4 linked regions of the Cricetulus griseus genome follow. The protein of the gene in region 1 interacts with the protein of each later gene in a pairwise test. Links are inferred from orthologs where the notes say so. Each region holds a gene or a part of one and is shown on either strand. Other genes may lie near its edges.

Region 1 (3,046 bases):
TCATATTGTGGAGGATCTGGAGTTGAGCCTTTTTTTTCTTTAAGTGGTGAAAAATGCCTAAAGAGTTGTACTGAGAAGCACTGATCACCTGCTAGAAAATAACTAGTTACAGCACTATCCAGTCATCCCATGGGAACAGCCACGCCTGAGCTAATGTGGTAAAGGCATAATAGACAGTAGAAGATGGCTGTGGCTATGATGGAGAGTGGAAAAGCTGTTGCTTTCTTCTGTGAACTGCTAGGGAGAGAAGAGAACCAAGCATAGCACTCAAGTGTCCAATTAGATGAATTGAGAATTGCTCAGTACAGCAGACAGAAGTGACAGAGGTCCCAGGAAAGGCTAGGCATAGTAGCATGCATCTGTAATCTCAGCATGCAGTTAACATAAGCAGGCAGAGGATTGTGCATTCAAGGCCAATTTGGACCAGCTACATAGTATGACCATAGTGCAGGGAGAGGGACTAGAGACAGAGACTCCAGGAAGGGAGAGGAGGAAAAGGAAAAGGTCTGTGGTGAGAGGTGCAATATTCCTAGCTTTAGAGGCCATTCAGACTGTTGTGATTCAAAGGAAAAGTAGGAAATCAAAGTGGGTTGTGGGATGTCTCCATGTAAGACCCCAAGCTGTGATGCTCTGGACACTTCATTTGGGACCTGGATACTAGAGGTTCAAGATTGAGAGCCTTTGAGCTGAGGACCCAAGAAGAGCTGGCAAGAGCTGAATGCTTCCGCTTGTATTGAATCTCAGAAACAGACCTTGCCTTCTCTCATCCCAGGGCCAGGAAGGCAACCTGCCCCTGGTACACCAGCACTCATCCCCTGCTCCCTACCTTCTTTCCACTTTCGTCAGGTTGAGCTCCAGATGATCCAAGAGGAGAACCGTCGCTTAACTATAGAGCTGCAGGAGGTCAAGGGCCAGCAAGAAGAGCAAGGTGCTCAGGTTCAGCAACTGAAGGACAAGGTGGCACACATGAAGGATGCCCTGGCCCAGGCACAGCAGAAAGTGGTGAGTGAAGTCATGTAGATGATAGAGAGCAGTGAGAGTACCAAAGTAGTCTAGAGAAAGAGACAAAGATGGCTAAAGTAAACAACACAGTCCTGGGTCCTGATGAGTGGGCCCCCTAATTCACAAGTAGTTGCCTAAGGGATCTGATTTCTGTCCTTTTTCTCCGGAGGCTGAGCTGGAGCCCCTGAAAGAGCAGCTTCGAGGAGTCCAGGAACTTGCAGCCTCAAGCCAACAGAAAGCTGCCCTTCTTGGGGAGGAATTGGCCAGTGCAGCAGGAGCCAGGGACCGCACCATAGCCGAGCTACACCGCAGCAGGCTGGAAGTGGCTGAAGTCAGTGGCCGACTGGCTGAGCTCAGCCTGCACATGAAGGAGGAAAAGTGCCAATGGAGCAAGGAGCGTACAGGGCTGCTGCAGAATATGGAGGTAGAGGGTGACCCTTCCCCCTACCTCAGAGACTCTAACCTGTAGTGAGGTGCTCTGGGAGGAGGGAATAGGGGACGTGATCCTAGGAGGACTTGAGGAGAGGTACTCAATGGAGCAAGGAGCGTACAGGGTTGCTCAGAAACCGTTTAGGCCCCAGACATACAAGAAAGGGTCCCAGTGAGTACAATGCTATTTCCCTGGCATCCCTTGCCACTTCACCTCCTCCCTCCCATCTTTCTTTGTACCATCTCTAGGCCGAGAAGGACAAAATCCTGAAGCTGAGTGCAGAGATCCTTCGGCTGGAGAAGACAGTACAGGAGGAGAGAAGCCAGAGCCACATATTCAAGACTGAGCTGGCCCGAGAAAAGGACTCTAGCCTGGTGAGGTGCTCACAGAGTCACATCTGGGCTGGAGGTATAACATAGGGGAGTTATGGGGTGGCTTCTGGTATTACCAAAGCCTCTTCATCCAGCCTAAGACAGTTACCTGGGGCCATATTGGAGAGAGAGAGTCTAGGACTTGACCTGAGCCCCGGGGGCCAAGACAAGGGCCTTGTGGAAGAAGCACTTTGTGTGTGGAGCAAGAGAGAACCTAGTTTACTTTTGGGCCAGTTTCTTGGTGGCACACTGCAAGCTGCAGGATCCATGACCCTTTCCCCTCAGGTACAGTTGTCAGAGAGTAAACGAGAGCTGACAGAGTTGCGCTCGGCCCTCCGTGTGCTTCAGAAGGAAAAGGAGCAGCTGCAGGCGGAGAAACAGGTGAGACTCACCTGTAGTTCAGGCCCTGGATGCCAAAGCCAAGGGCTTGGAGACTCAAACTTCTGTACCATCTTGGTAATCCCTTGGCTCAGAAACTGGAATCTCTTTGAGAATGCAAAAGCTGAAAAATGGCTCTGACTCCTCTTAGGAACTAACTTTGTACAGGGGAGGAACACCAGAAGGGATCAAGGTGCAGGGTAGAGGAGAGCTCTCAATTAAAGGGATCTGCCATGTGTGACTCCACCCCATGGCGAAAGCATCTACAATGATGTCTGGGAGCAAGGAAAGCCCAGGAGGCCAGCAGGGTTGTCCTCTTACAGGCTTTGACACCTGCCTTTTTCTTCCCCAACTCCAGGAATTGCTGGAGTACATGAGGAAGCTGGAGGCCCGATTAGAGAAGGTAGCAGATGAGAAGTGGAATGAAGATGCTGCCACAGAGGATGAGGAGGCCACTGCAGGACTGAGTCTGTCCCCAATCTTGTGACACCTCTTTCCCTTCCCCCTCTTTGAGGAAAGCTATTGAAGCAGCCTAGCCTTCCCTTCCCATTCCTGGGGCCCTCTGCAGTTGAACCGTCTCCCTCCTTAGATTCCTATGGCTGACCTTTCTTCTCTATCTGAATGCCCTCCCATAGGCTGCCCTGCAGCTCTGACGGACTCTGAAGATGAGTCCCCAGAGGACATGAGGCTCCCATCCTATGGCTTGTGTGAGCATGGAAACACAGGCTCTTCTCCTCCTGGGCTCCGGGAGGCATCTTCCCTTGTTGTCATCAACCAACCAGCACCCATTGCTTCCCACCTCTCCGGGCCAGGGGAGGACAGCAGCTCTGACTCAGTGAGTAGTGAGAGCCCACATGCACAGCTG
Region 2 (3,566 bases), on another chromosome or scaffold:
TTAATAAAAATAGCCTGACATAATCAGGTGGCATATACCTATAATCCAAGCACTTAAGGAGGCTGACGTGGGAAAATTGCAAATTTAAGCCTGGATAACTTCAGATAACCAGTCTCAAAAAAAAAAAAAAAAAAAAAGTAAAGAAAAGAAAAGAAAAAAAGATTGGTTGTGAAGGGAATATAGATCAGTGGTAGAGTACCTAACATGTGCAGGGTCCTGGAAGCAGTCCCCACTGAGAGGAAAAAGAAGAGGAGGGAGGAGGGAGGGAGGAGGAGGAGGGAGGGAGGGAGGGAGGGAGGGAGGGAGGGAGGGGAGTATTTAGTTTCATGCAATAGAATGAACACTTCTTCAGAAATAAACTTAGGTTTAAATCATGACTTAATTGGGGCCTAGATTGTTATCTTGGTGAAATCACTTATTGATGATTGATGTGGGAGGGCCCAGCCCACTGTGGGTGCTTCAACCCCTGGGCTGGTGGTCCTGGGTGGAATAAGAAAGCAGGTTGAGCAAGCCAGGGGGAGCAAGCCAGTAAGCAGCACTCTTCCATGGCCTGTGCACCAGCTGCTGTCCCCAGGTTCCTGCCCTGTTTGAGCTCCTGTCCTGACTTCCTTCAGTCATGGACTATGACATGGAAGTTTAAGCCAAATAAGCCCTTTCGTCCCCAACTAGCTTTTGGTCATGGTGTTTTATCACAGCAATAGAAGCCCTAACTAAGAATTTCTATACTTTTTAACAGTTAAAGAATTGGCAATTTAGCCGGGCAGTGGTGGCGCATGCCTTTAATCCCAACACTTGGGAAACAGAGGCAGGCGGATCTCTGTGAGTTCGAGGCCAGCCTGGTCTACAAGAGCTAGTTCCAGGACAGCCTCCAAAGCCACAGAAAAACCCTGTCTTGAAAAACCAAATAAATAAAAATAAAGAAATTGGCAATTTAATCTGTATGCCTTTAATTCCAGCTTTTGGGAGGCAGAGGTGGGTGGATCTCTGTGAGTTTGAGGCCAGACCTGGTCTACAGAGTAATCTTCTAGGCCAGCAAAGGCTACATAGTGAGACTCAGTCTCTAAAATAAATAAAAATTATGGCATTTTTCATCATTAGACAGTTTCTTCAGTTGAAAGTTTTTAGCATCCCACAAAGTAATTTTTGGTTAAGAAAGTAAAAAAGAAAAGAAAAAAGTCTACATGTCTGCCTTGACACCAAAGCTAGGTTTGTTTGTTTGTTTGTTTGTTTGTTTGTTTATTTAAAATTTTTATTTGGGGGGTTAGAGAGATGGTTCAGCAATTAAAAGCACCTGCTGCTCTTGCAGAGGAGCTGGGTTCAGTTCCCAGCACCTGCCTGGTGGCTCACAGCCATCTTCTAACTCCAGTTCCAGCTCACTGTCGTTCTCTTGTGGTCTCTGCTGGCACTGCACACACATGGTGCACATACATACACTCATACAAATAAAATTAAAGGCATGGGATTAAAAGCATGTGACACCACCAACCAGCTATCTTGGTTTTGTTTTGTTTTGTTTTGAGGCAGGATCTCTGTCTGCCACCTTGGCTGTCATGAATTCATGAATATCCCTAATGCCGGGATAAGAAGCAATTATAAACATGCACCTCCATACCCAGCCTGATGTGGATTTTGTTTATATGGCAGAATCTAGTTAAGTAGTTCAGGCTAACCTCAAACGTTCTATCTTCCATTTCTTCCAAATGCTAGGATTACAGGTATGTGTGTGTTGTGTGACAAACTTTTCCTAGGGAGACACAACATATTTTTGTGTATTTATTTCAGATAGGGAGCCCATGGCAGACCAAAGTGTGGATACCATTAAAGTTCAATTTGGTGAACCACTCAGCTTTAGTGGGGTTACTTACCGGAATATGGGTGAGGGGTTACTTATGGGGGAAGAAATGACTTAAAGACAGCTGCATCACCAAAATCCACCCCAGCATGGGTGACAGCTCACAAAAGCTGGAAACCTGGAGCTCACTGCACAGCCCACATGTAGCCTAACAAGTGGCAGAGTGTCCTTTTTAGTTGAGTCAGTTGGTCTGAGCCTCTTGTGCAGCTCCACTGGTTTTTTTGTTGCTGTTGTTATTTTGTTTTGTTTTGTTTTTGCTTCTTTTGGTCTGTTTGGCGGCTCTCAGGAGTCTTTTGTGTGGCTTGGCTCCTCTGGGAGAGGCTCTCAAAGTCTTTATTGTTTATTCTAGAGAAGGAAGGGGCCAAGTGAGTCTGCTCAGCTTTAGGGACTTCCTGGAGTTGTTCTGAACTGTTTACTTTTTGTCTGAAGGAGCTTCCCTATAGGATAGAATGTTTGTTTTGTTTTTTAAATGTTATTTATTTATTTATTTTACATCCCAACCACAGTCTCCCCACTCTCTTCTCTTCCCTTTCCCTCCCCCTACCAGGTTGGTATGTTTTAATCTCAGAAAAATAAATAAATGAATTGCTAGAAGTATAGTTCTAAAGAGTAATAATTGATTTTAATAAACCCCTTTAGCCACTTGGCTACCTTGGAGCTAGTGATCTCAGGTTTTGGTCTATTTCCAGCCTCATAGTAGTTTGTGACGGGTGTGATATGTGTGCTGTATATACACTTTTTTCCCTCCTAGATTGCACCAGAGCTGCTGAACAATTAAAGAATAACCCACGGCACAAGAATTACCTAGAACTGGTGTCCCTGAAGCAGCTGGAGAAGCTGTTTGTTTTTTTACGAGGTTACTTGCAGGGGCAGAGCTTGGCAGAAACGAAGGAACAAATTCAACGGGAAACGACCATTGACCCCGAGGAAGACCTGAACAAACTAGATGACAAGGAGCTCGCCAAAAGGAAGAGCATCATGGATGAACTTTTTGAGAAAAATCAGAAGAGAAAGGATGACCCCAGTTTTGTGTATGACGTTGAAGTTGAGTTCCCTCAGGATGAACAGCTGCTGTCCTGCAGCTGGGACACCGAGTCAGCCGATGAGTTCTGAGACCTGCTGATCCATGTCTCCACAAAGAACAAGGACTGGCCCTAGAAAATCTGTAAACACGAAGGTACATATAAAACCAAGAGACTCATGTGTGCTGCGTAGGCCTGTGAGGAACAACAGCAACAACAAACAGTATAGGAATGCCATTTAAGGAGTTGGCAATCTAAAAGGAAAGTAACTCAAAAACTTGTAAAAAGATATTTGAATAATATTACTCAGAAACGAGATTAGAATCAGATTTTCAATGAAGGCTGACATAGCAAGGAAGGTTTTCCCTCAGCAGAAAGGGACCTGAGCATGGCCCTGGAATGCTACAGGTGGTTTTGTAGATGAAGCAAAGGGGGAGGGTGTAGTAAAGAGACAGGACATGAAAATTTGGAGAAAGAGTGAATAATTATAGTTTGGCAAGATTGAGATTAACCTGTGTTCATTATGTCTCTATGGGTATTTAACTCTCGGGTAGACAAAAACACCTGCAAAGTGCTTCACAGCTACAAGTGCATGCAGACTGAGAGACAAAGGCAATTGTGTCCCTCCACGCTCAGGAAATGTTACTGTGAAACCCAGAACCACTTCCTGTGAGAGGCTGGTTTAGACAGTG
Region 3 (3,650 bases), on another chromosome or scaffold:
TAACATTAGTAATAACAAAACAGTAATTAATTTTTTTTAAACTTTTGGTAGTAGAAATATAGACAACAAGTCTGTTTGAACTACTGTGTAAAAAGACTGTATCACATGTAACTTGAATTTCATGTAAATGTTAACGCATGCTAAATAAAAGTTTATTCAGTCTAACAGAAAAAAAACAAGTAATTACTATGTTAACTAAGGACTAATTGAACACAGGCCTGTGGTACCCTGACAGTCAATCTTATAACTGAGACAGCTAATAAACAATTAATGGTTACTGTAGCATGCAATGTGAATACACTGGCCAGAATGCTTGTCCTTGTTCTAGCTTGCTGTTACTATGATAAAACATTGACCAAAACCAGCTTAGGGAGGAAAGAGTATATCTGGATTGCAGCTACAGTTGACCATCAATAGCAGCTAAGGCAGGAGCTTGAAGCAGAAACTGTGGAGGAATGCTACCTACTGACTTGTTCCCTCTGGTTTGCTAAACTACCTTTCTTATACAGCCAGGCCCACCTGCTAGGGATGGCACCACCCATTGTGGGCTGCAGCCTCCTACATCAGTTAGCAGCTAACACATGCCCCAGAGACCTGTCCATAGGCCAGTCATGGTGGCAATTCCTCAACTGAGGCTTCCTCTACATAGATCTGTAAAGTTGACAACTACTGCTAGCTATGACAGCCTTGAGTACAACACAGCAGGACAGTGCAAAACTTAAAAAGGTTCTCAACCTTCCTAATGCTTTGAACTTTTAATACAGTTCCTCAAGTCATGGTGTTCACCATAAAATTATTTCATTGCTACTTCATAGCTGTAATTGGTGTTCACCATAAAATTATTTTGTTGCTACTTCATAGCTGTAATTCTGATGCCTTTTCTAATCATAATGTAACTATCTGATATGCAGTTTATCTTATATGCACAAGGGTGTTTGACCCCCAAAGTAGCTTTGCCGCCCCCCCCCCCCCCCCGCCGCAGGCTGAGAAACACTGCTCTAGATCCTTCATCCTGGAAAGATGCCTAGCTACATGAATCGAAAACCTTAGAAATATGTGTATACTTTTGTGTAAACACGTTTAGGATCATCCTAAAAGGAAGAATTCAAATGTGCCAACAGACATTATATAAGTTGAATTTAGTGATATTTGGAAGATAAGATTGTTTTTGTTTTTTGAGACAGGATTTCTCTGTGTATAGCTCTGGCTGTTCTGGAACTCTCTCTGTAGACCAGGTTGGCCTCAAACTCAGAGAGATCCATCTGCCTCTGCCTCCCAAGTGCAGGGATTAAAGGTATGCACCACCAACGCCCAGCTGAGGATTGCCTTTGCTAGGGAAGTAAGTTCGCTGTTCAGTCTCTACCCTTGGAAGAGAACAGAGGGGTGAGGTTAAGTTCTGACCCTATGAGACCCACCTCCACCCCCTCCCAACTTCCCATGTGCCTTTCCTTTAGGTATGCTGCCCGAGACAAGAGTCGATTGATCCAACTGGGCATCACCCATGTTGTGAATGTTGCTGCAGGCAAGTTTCAAGTGGACACAGGTGCCAAGTTTTACCGTGGAACTTCTGTGGAGTACTATGGCATTGAGGCTGATGATAATCCCTTCTTTGACCTCAGTGTTTACTTTCTGCCTGTTGCTCGATACATCAGAGATGCCCTCAATACTCCCCAAAGTGAGCTGCTGGGGAAGGGACTGGGCAGGGTGGGGACAGGGTGGGATTTGGTGCTATCCATTTCTACAGTAGCACTGATGGGTAGGGAGCCCATGCCACCAACCCCATCAGCAGCCCTCCCACTGTAAGGAGCGGGTAGCTATTACCACTTAGTGAGTATGTCGTGGAAATCAACAATTCCAGATATAACTAAGAGTCAGCAAGGGGGCTGGAGAGATGGCTCAGTTGGTACAGTGCTGGCTGTGCAGAATGAAGATCTGGAACCTGCATGAAAAAGGCAGGCATGGTAATGTGTGCTTGTTCTCCCAGCATTAGGTGGATGAAAATAGGAGGATATCTGAGGTTCACTGACAGGGCAGCCTAGGCAGTGAGGGACCCTGTCTCAAAATACAAAGGCAGACAATGCCTGAGGAGCAACCTCCAGAGTTGATTTCTGGCCTTCATATGTATGTGTACACATTTGGATAAACACCTGAATACTCATGTGTACCACCACATCAAAGAAGACACACACACACACACACACACACACACACACACACACGCACGCACGCACGCACGCACGCACGCACACACACACACACACACACACACTATCCATTATGGTTATTAGTATAACCATATCCTTTAGAAAGTGTCCAGTCACTAGGCAGAAATCTAGCAAAGCACAGAGAGGAAACATAGGTAGGTTCAAGGCTTCATGGGCAGGAGAGAGCAGGACTGAGGGGAAAGGGAGAGGGTATTCCCTGTGATGTAAATCCAAGGAACTCCAGAAGTTTGATGACCCTCTCCTGGACTTGCAATGGGCTATCAGAGGAAGCCCCTCTGGACTAGGTGCCTAGCTGTTCACCTCTACTAAATTGCTGTGTGACCTTGAGCCTCCATTGCCCCATCTGACAATAAGGACAGTGTTAGTTTTCCAGGGTGTCGAGACAGGTGGACAGAAGGGATGGCCAGAGCCGTCCCTTCTTCTCAAAGGTGAGGAGGGTGCAGGTGGCCAATGGTAGTTTGGGTTTTCCTACAGGCCGAGTGCTGGTTCACTGCGCAATGGGGGTAAGCCGCTCTGCCACAGTTGTCCTGGCCTTCCTCATGATCTGCGAGAACATGACACTGGTAGAAGCCATCCAGACGGTGCAGGCCCACCGAGATATCTGCCCCAACTCAGGCTTTCTCCGACAACTCCAGGTTCTGGACAACAGGCTGAGGCGGGAATCAGGGCGACTCTGATTTAGGGAGCGCCTGAAGCCCTGACCCCCTCCATCCAGCGTGGCCCAACCTGACCTGCCTGGCCCTGGGGATGGCAGTCTCTGCTGTTTCCAGAGACCCTGAGATTTTTCCAGCAAGTCAGCGCTCCACTGAGGCAGAGGCAGGGCAAGCTGGGTAGCACCCTTCAGCAGGTGGAGTTCCCTGACCCAATACAGAAATTCTTTATGCAGAAGAAAATTCAGTCTGTCTCTATAATAAAAGGTTCATCATAATAAAGATGTTTGTGAGACAATGGCTTTATTGTCACGAAGGCCACAAGCCTCAGGATGGTTTGCCAGCTCTGACTCAGCAGCCTGGAGAAGGAGGGAGCCTGAGGACAAGGCAAGACCCAATGAGGAGAGAGTGCAGGTGGGGATTGGTTAGTGATAATGTTCTGGGTGCAAGAGAAGGTTTGATGAGGTGCTGAGGACCAGGTGACTTCTCCCTCATCCTGCCCCTTTCATGCCCTCACCCAAGGCTGAAGCTGTCTGTTAAAAGAAAAAAAAAAAAAGTTCCAAGTATCAGATCCTCTCCTGGCCATAATCAAAATTCACTTGTGGGGCCCAGCAAGATGGCTCATCAAGTCAAAGATTTTGTAGCACAAGCCCTGGTGACCTGGGTTCAATCTTCTACCTTATAAAGGCAAAGAGAGAGAATGGATTCCATGAAGGTGTCCCCTGACCTCCATGTTCACGCACATATGCACAATCTTAACACAGCATGCCTACAC
Region 4 (4,336 bases), on another chromosome or scaffold:
GGCAATATCTGTACCCCAATATTTTGTCTCAGAAAAAAAAAAAATCTTCTTAAAAAGATAGGATCATCTTCACCAAAGAAACTAGGAAACATGAAGGACTCTAAGGGATAAATGGACCCCAGGAATGGGAAGTGGCATGAACTCCTGAGCTAATTGGGAGCACAAGGGTAGGGGAGAGGGAACTGCCACAATAAGATCAAGAGAAGAGGAGTAGAGGAGAGGAAATAGAGGAGCAGAAATATTGAGTCAGGGGAAGAATAGAGGAGAAAGAGCAGAATGAGAGATGCCATATTAGAGGGAGCCACTATAGGTCTGAGAAGAGATCTGGAACTAGGGAGATCTCCAGAGACCTACAAGGATGACATGATCTGACAATCCAGGCAATGGTGGAGAGGACAACCTAAAAACCCTTCCCCTAAAATGAGATTGATGACTACTCTTTATGCCATCCTAGAGCCCTCATCCAGTGGCTGATGGAAACAGAGACAGACATCCACAGATACACACTGAGCTGAAATCTGGAATTTAGTTGGAGAGAGGGAGGAATGAAGAACAAAGGGGTCTGTACCAGGTTGGAGAAACCCACAGAAACAGTTGGCCTGAACAAGGGGGAGCACATCGACCCCAGATGCTAACTGGGAGGCCAGTACAAGAGTGATCCAGATCCCTGAACATAGATGTCAATAAGGAGGCCTCTGCACTCCAGGGAGCCTCTGGTAGTGGATTAGTATTTTTCCCTGGTGTAAGAAGGGACTTTGAGAGCCCATCCCACATGAAGGGTTACACTCTGGCCCTGGACACATTGGGAAGGGCCCAGGCCCAGCACAAGAAGATTTGGTGGACTTTGCAGAGCCCCCGTTGAGGGCTACCCTGCCTGGGGAGTGGTGGGTGGATGGGGTGGGGGGTAGGTTGAGGTGGGGGAGGAGGGATGGGGGTGAGGGGAGGGAGAGGGAGAAGGGACTTACATGTGAAACAAGCTTGTTCCCTAACTTGAACTAAGGAAAAAAAAAAAAAAGATAGGATCATACTGCTAGTTTCTAGTCAACAGTCAACAAACGCCAAACAATGCAAGGTTTTTTCTGCTTTCTCATCTACCTCTCAAACATCAAAGCTGAGTTTGGTCCTATATGCAGATCCCTATAAAATTCATTACAGTTTATAAAGAGTTTCCTCCCAAAACTTCTGGAAATACCAGTCAGACAATAATGAAGAATATTATTATATCTACTTTGAGATCAATGAAAAATCACAATGGTTTATTTGTCCGAGACCAGGTACTCACTCCCATAAAAATATGACGATCATTACTCATTCTTCCTATCTTTTCTATTCTTTATATACATTTAAACTTATTAAAACTTCTTCCCCTTAAGCCCCCCACCAAATTGTTACCAAACACTGTTGTTCTTCAACTACAAATTTGCCCTTTGTGCAGTCACAGTTTGGAAAAACTTATCAGATAATTCAATATTTACTTTTTCCATTTTTTATAAATTCCATATATTTCAATATTAATGAGAATTCTGTTTACCAAACTTTTGGGGGAGACACACATTCTGAGTCTCTTATGTTAAACAGTGTTTCAATCAGTCTGTCTGGTGTTGTGTCTCACTGTCATGAAAAACCGTAATAAACCATTTTAAATGCCCAGTGAAAGACAGACAGACAGTGGAGGAATGCCCACTGTACTCAAATGTTTCCCACTTCCAATAGGCCGAAGAAATGACTCGGTCTGCAAGACAACTGGTGTCTTCAAATGTGGTACAGTACATAGAAACTGAGCAATCCACACTCAAAGCACAAGGACATTTGCTCAGTAATGTTCATGGCAGCATTACTTGTAATAGCCAGGACTTGGAGTCAACCTGGATGCCCCTCAATCGAAGAATGGACAAGGAAAATGTGGTACATTTAGACATTGGAGTACTACTCAGTGATTAAACCAAAAAAAGAAAGAAAGAAAGAAAGAAAGAAAGAAAGAAAGAAAGAAAGGACATCTTGAAATTCGAAGGCAAATGGATGGAACCAGAAAAAAAAAAAAAATCCTGAGTGAGGTAACCCAGACCCAGAAAGACAAATATGTACTCACTCATGATTGGATATTAGACTTAAAGCAAAGGACAACCAGCCTACAGGCCACAACCCCTGAGAACCTAGAGGACCCTAGGAAAAGGAACTAGACAAGATCTCCTAAGTAAATAGGAAGAGTAGGGGCAGGAGGGAGAGTGGAAGGGGAGGGGAGAGGGAAGGAGAGTGGGGGATGTATTGCTCAATGTTTTTTAAACTGGGCAAAAAAAAAGAAAAAGAAACCTAGCGATCCAGGCGGCAGAAATGTCAAGAATAGATGACTAAAAGCTAAGGAACCCAATCACATCTCTCTGCAAAGGGAATGAGCAAAGCGAGCGGGCAGAGAATTTAGGAGACACTGCTTTGGGAAAACAGCTGACAGCCTGACATGGAGAAATACCGACGTGAGGAGAGGAGTAGGTGGACTACCTCCCGGAAGTGTCAAGTCCTGCAATTCTAAGTAACTTTCCGAGATCTGTCTAAGAGAAAAAACGACAGCATTTCAGGAACGAAAGACGGATTCTCTGGGAGAGTGCTGGCCTGAAGTGCAGGAAGCGCTCAGTGTGAGCCCTGGTCTTAAAAGGAGGAAAGAAAACACTCCAAAGCGGAGATACCTGGCGTAACACTTCGGCCCTGGCAATGCGGGTCCGTTCTTTTCGCTCTTCGATACTCCTAGCACTTTCAAATCTTCCACCCAACGCCGCCATAGTTGTAGCTGTCATAAAGCGAGGAAGCCGTCCGGAAACCTCAGTTTACGACTGTCGCAAAGCAGGAACCAAATCCTGGCCTGTTACTATGCCAACGGAGCAGGCGCAGATTGAAAGGCGGCAGAGCTAAAGGTTTGGTGGAACGTTGGAAGTCCGCCCCGCGGCGGGCGTTTTAGGTGTGCGGGGTTCGCTGAGTTAATAATCAGCATGCGCAATGATGTACCTTGCACTGTGCTAGCTCCTGTCTTATCAAGACTCTTACTATCCAGATATCTGCGTTCTTGCCTGATTTCCTGTGATGGTGCACCAGGCTAAAGGGACGCTAATCAGAAAGTCAGGAGAACGTGGGGGGAAAGGGAAAAAAAAAATTGCTCTAAGATTCACTATTTTTTTTTTGTTGGTGGGTGTTTTTAAATATATTGGAAACGGAGTTGGAGAGATGGGTGAGTGGTTTGCTCTTGCAAAGGACCTAAGTTCAGATCCAAAAGCCTTGTGGAGGTTCACAACCATCTGTAGCTCTATTTCCAGGGGACCCACCGCCCTCTTCTGGCTTCCACAGGCACTTCACCTCCTTGGTGTACTTAGATAAAGGCAAACAAAACACTCACACACACATTCACACACCCTGTAGAGGTTGAGAGTGTTGCACAAGCCTGAGTGCAGGAAGAGTTCTCATCATTGGGTGTGAGATGCATTGAGTGTAAGATTCTCTCTCATGAAGAAAGCTGGGTGTTGGTGGCACAGGCCTTTAATGCCAACACGGGAGGCCGAGGCAGGCGGATCTCTGTGAGTTCAAGGCCAGCCTGGGCTATAGAGCTAGTTCCAAGACAGCCTCCAAAGCCACAGAGAAACCCTGTCTCTAACCCCCTCCCCCAAAATAAAAAAGCAGGGACCTTATGTTTACTGCATCTTGCTTAAATAAGTCTCTGTATCAAAATACTAGTTCTTATCTGTGCTACATATGATTCGTTCACAAGGATGGTAATAGGAAAATTGAGATAAGCCATTTCTCTTTCTTTTTACCTCTGGCAACTCAGCAGAATTTAAAATGCCAAACTTCAACGGTTACACCCCTATGCCCCCCACCAAGTGCTATTGTTGATTTGATTCATTACATTTAGAAGGCTGCAACCTGCACAGATGTACCCACTGAGAGTAACCAGCCAATACAGAGCTGATTGGAAGGGCTGCTGCACCTGCTCACCTAATACCAAAGGCACCCATAGGAGCACACCATGAAATATACTGCAGCTGGTCTGCTGGTTTTCAGTAACCTGGCTTCTCTGTTAGTCAGAACTGCTGTGAAAGTTCATTTTGCTGTTAAGAAGCAATACTCACGAGCCTTTGTATTGCAGAAGAAATGAAAATGTCAGGAAACTAAAAACTAGATTTTGATAATTTCCCTCCTGACCTTCCCTGTTCCATATCCCAGCATGATGACCAGGCTGATATTGTTACAACTAAGGTAGAGCTGCCTGTATCTCCATTCATCCCACAGGGTTTGCCCTGCTCCAACTGCATACAAAGAGACACATATTAGGCCTTGAGATGTCCTTATTGAG

Evidence for each region.
Region 2: the proteins of calcium-binding and coiled-coil domain-containing protein 1 (region 1) and Cep19 interact in binary tests that used the Homo sapiens proteins (3 or more experiments, as listed by UniProt). The two-hybrid records come from large-scale screens. The link is inferred for Cricetulus griseus from reciprocal best matches to the Homo sapiens genes CALCOCO1 and CEP19.
Region 3: the proteins of calcium-binding and coiled-coil domain-containing protein 1 (region 1) and dual specificity protein phosphatase 13 interact in binary tests that used the Homo sapiens proteins (3 or more experiments, as listed by UniProt). The two-hybrid records come from large-scale screens. The link is inferred for Cricetulus griseus from reciprocal best matches to the Homo sapiens genes CALCOCO1 and DUSP13B.
Region 4: the proteins of calcium-binding and coiled-coil domain-containing protein 1 (region 1) and Cwf19l2 interact in binary tests that used the Homo sapiens proteins (3 or more experiments, as listed by UniProt). The two-hybrid records come from large-scale screens. The link is inferred for Cricetulus griseus from reciprocal best matches to the Homo sapiens genes CALCOCO1 and CWF19L2.

The regions. Positions count from the first base shown.
Region 1 is NC_048595.1:399,089,840-399,092,885, reverse strand, and holds part of calcium-binding and coiled-coil domain-containing protein 1, read left to right. Parts: intron 1-846; coding exon 847-1,002; intron 1,003-1,171; coding exon 1,172-1,426; intron 1,427-1,680; coding exon 1,681-1,806; intron 1,807-2,088; coding exon 2,089-2,184; intron 2,185-2,539; coding exon 2,540-2,648; intron 2,649-2,816; coding exon 2,817-3,016; intron 3,017-3,046. UniProt on the Homo sapiens protein: Functions as a coactivator for aryl hydrocarbon and nuclear receptors (NR). Recruited to promoters through its contact with the N-terminal basic helix-loop-helix-Per-Arnt-Sim (PAS) domain of transcription factors or coactivators, such as NCOA2.
Region 2 is NC_048597.1:57,389,726-57,393,291, reverse strand, and holds part of Cep19 (centrosomal protein of 19 kDa), read left to right. Parts: intron 1-2,603; coding exon 2,604-2,965; 3' UTR 2,966-3,566. UniProt on the Homo sapiens protein: Required for ciliation. Recruits the RABL2B GTPase to the ciliary base to initiate ciliation.
Region 3 is NW_023276807.1:199,240,402-199,244,051, forward strand, and holds the end of dual specificity protein phosphatase 13, read left to right. Parts: intron 1-1,454; coding exon 1,455-1,675; intron 1,676-2,699; coding exon 2,700-2,902; 3' UTR 2,903-3,136; downstream 3,137-3,650. UniProt on the Homo sapiens protein: Dual specificity phosphatase that dephosphorylates MAPK8/JNK and MAPK14/p38, but not MAPK1/ERK2, in vitro. Exhibits intrinsic phosphatase activity towards both phospho-seryl/threonyl and -tyrosyl residues, with similar specific activities in vitro.
Region 4 is NC_048597.1:118,076,300-118,080,635, reverse strand, and holds the start of Cwf19l2 (CWF19-like protein 2), read right to left. Parts: upstream 2,813-4,336; 5' UTR 2,790-2,812; coding exon 2,682-2,789; intron 1-2,681.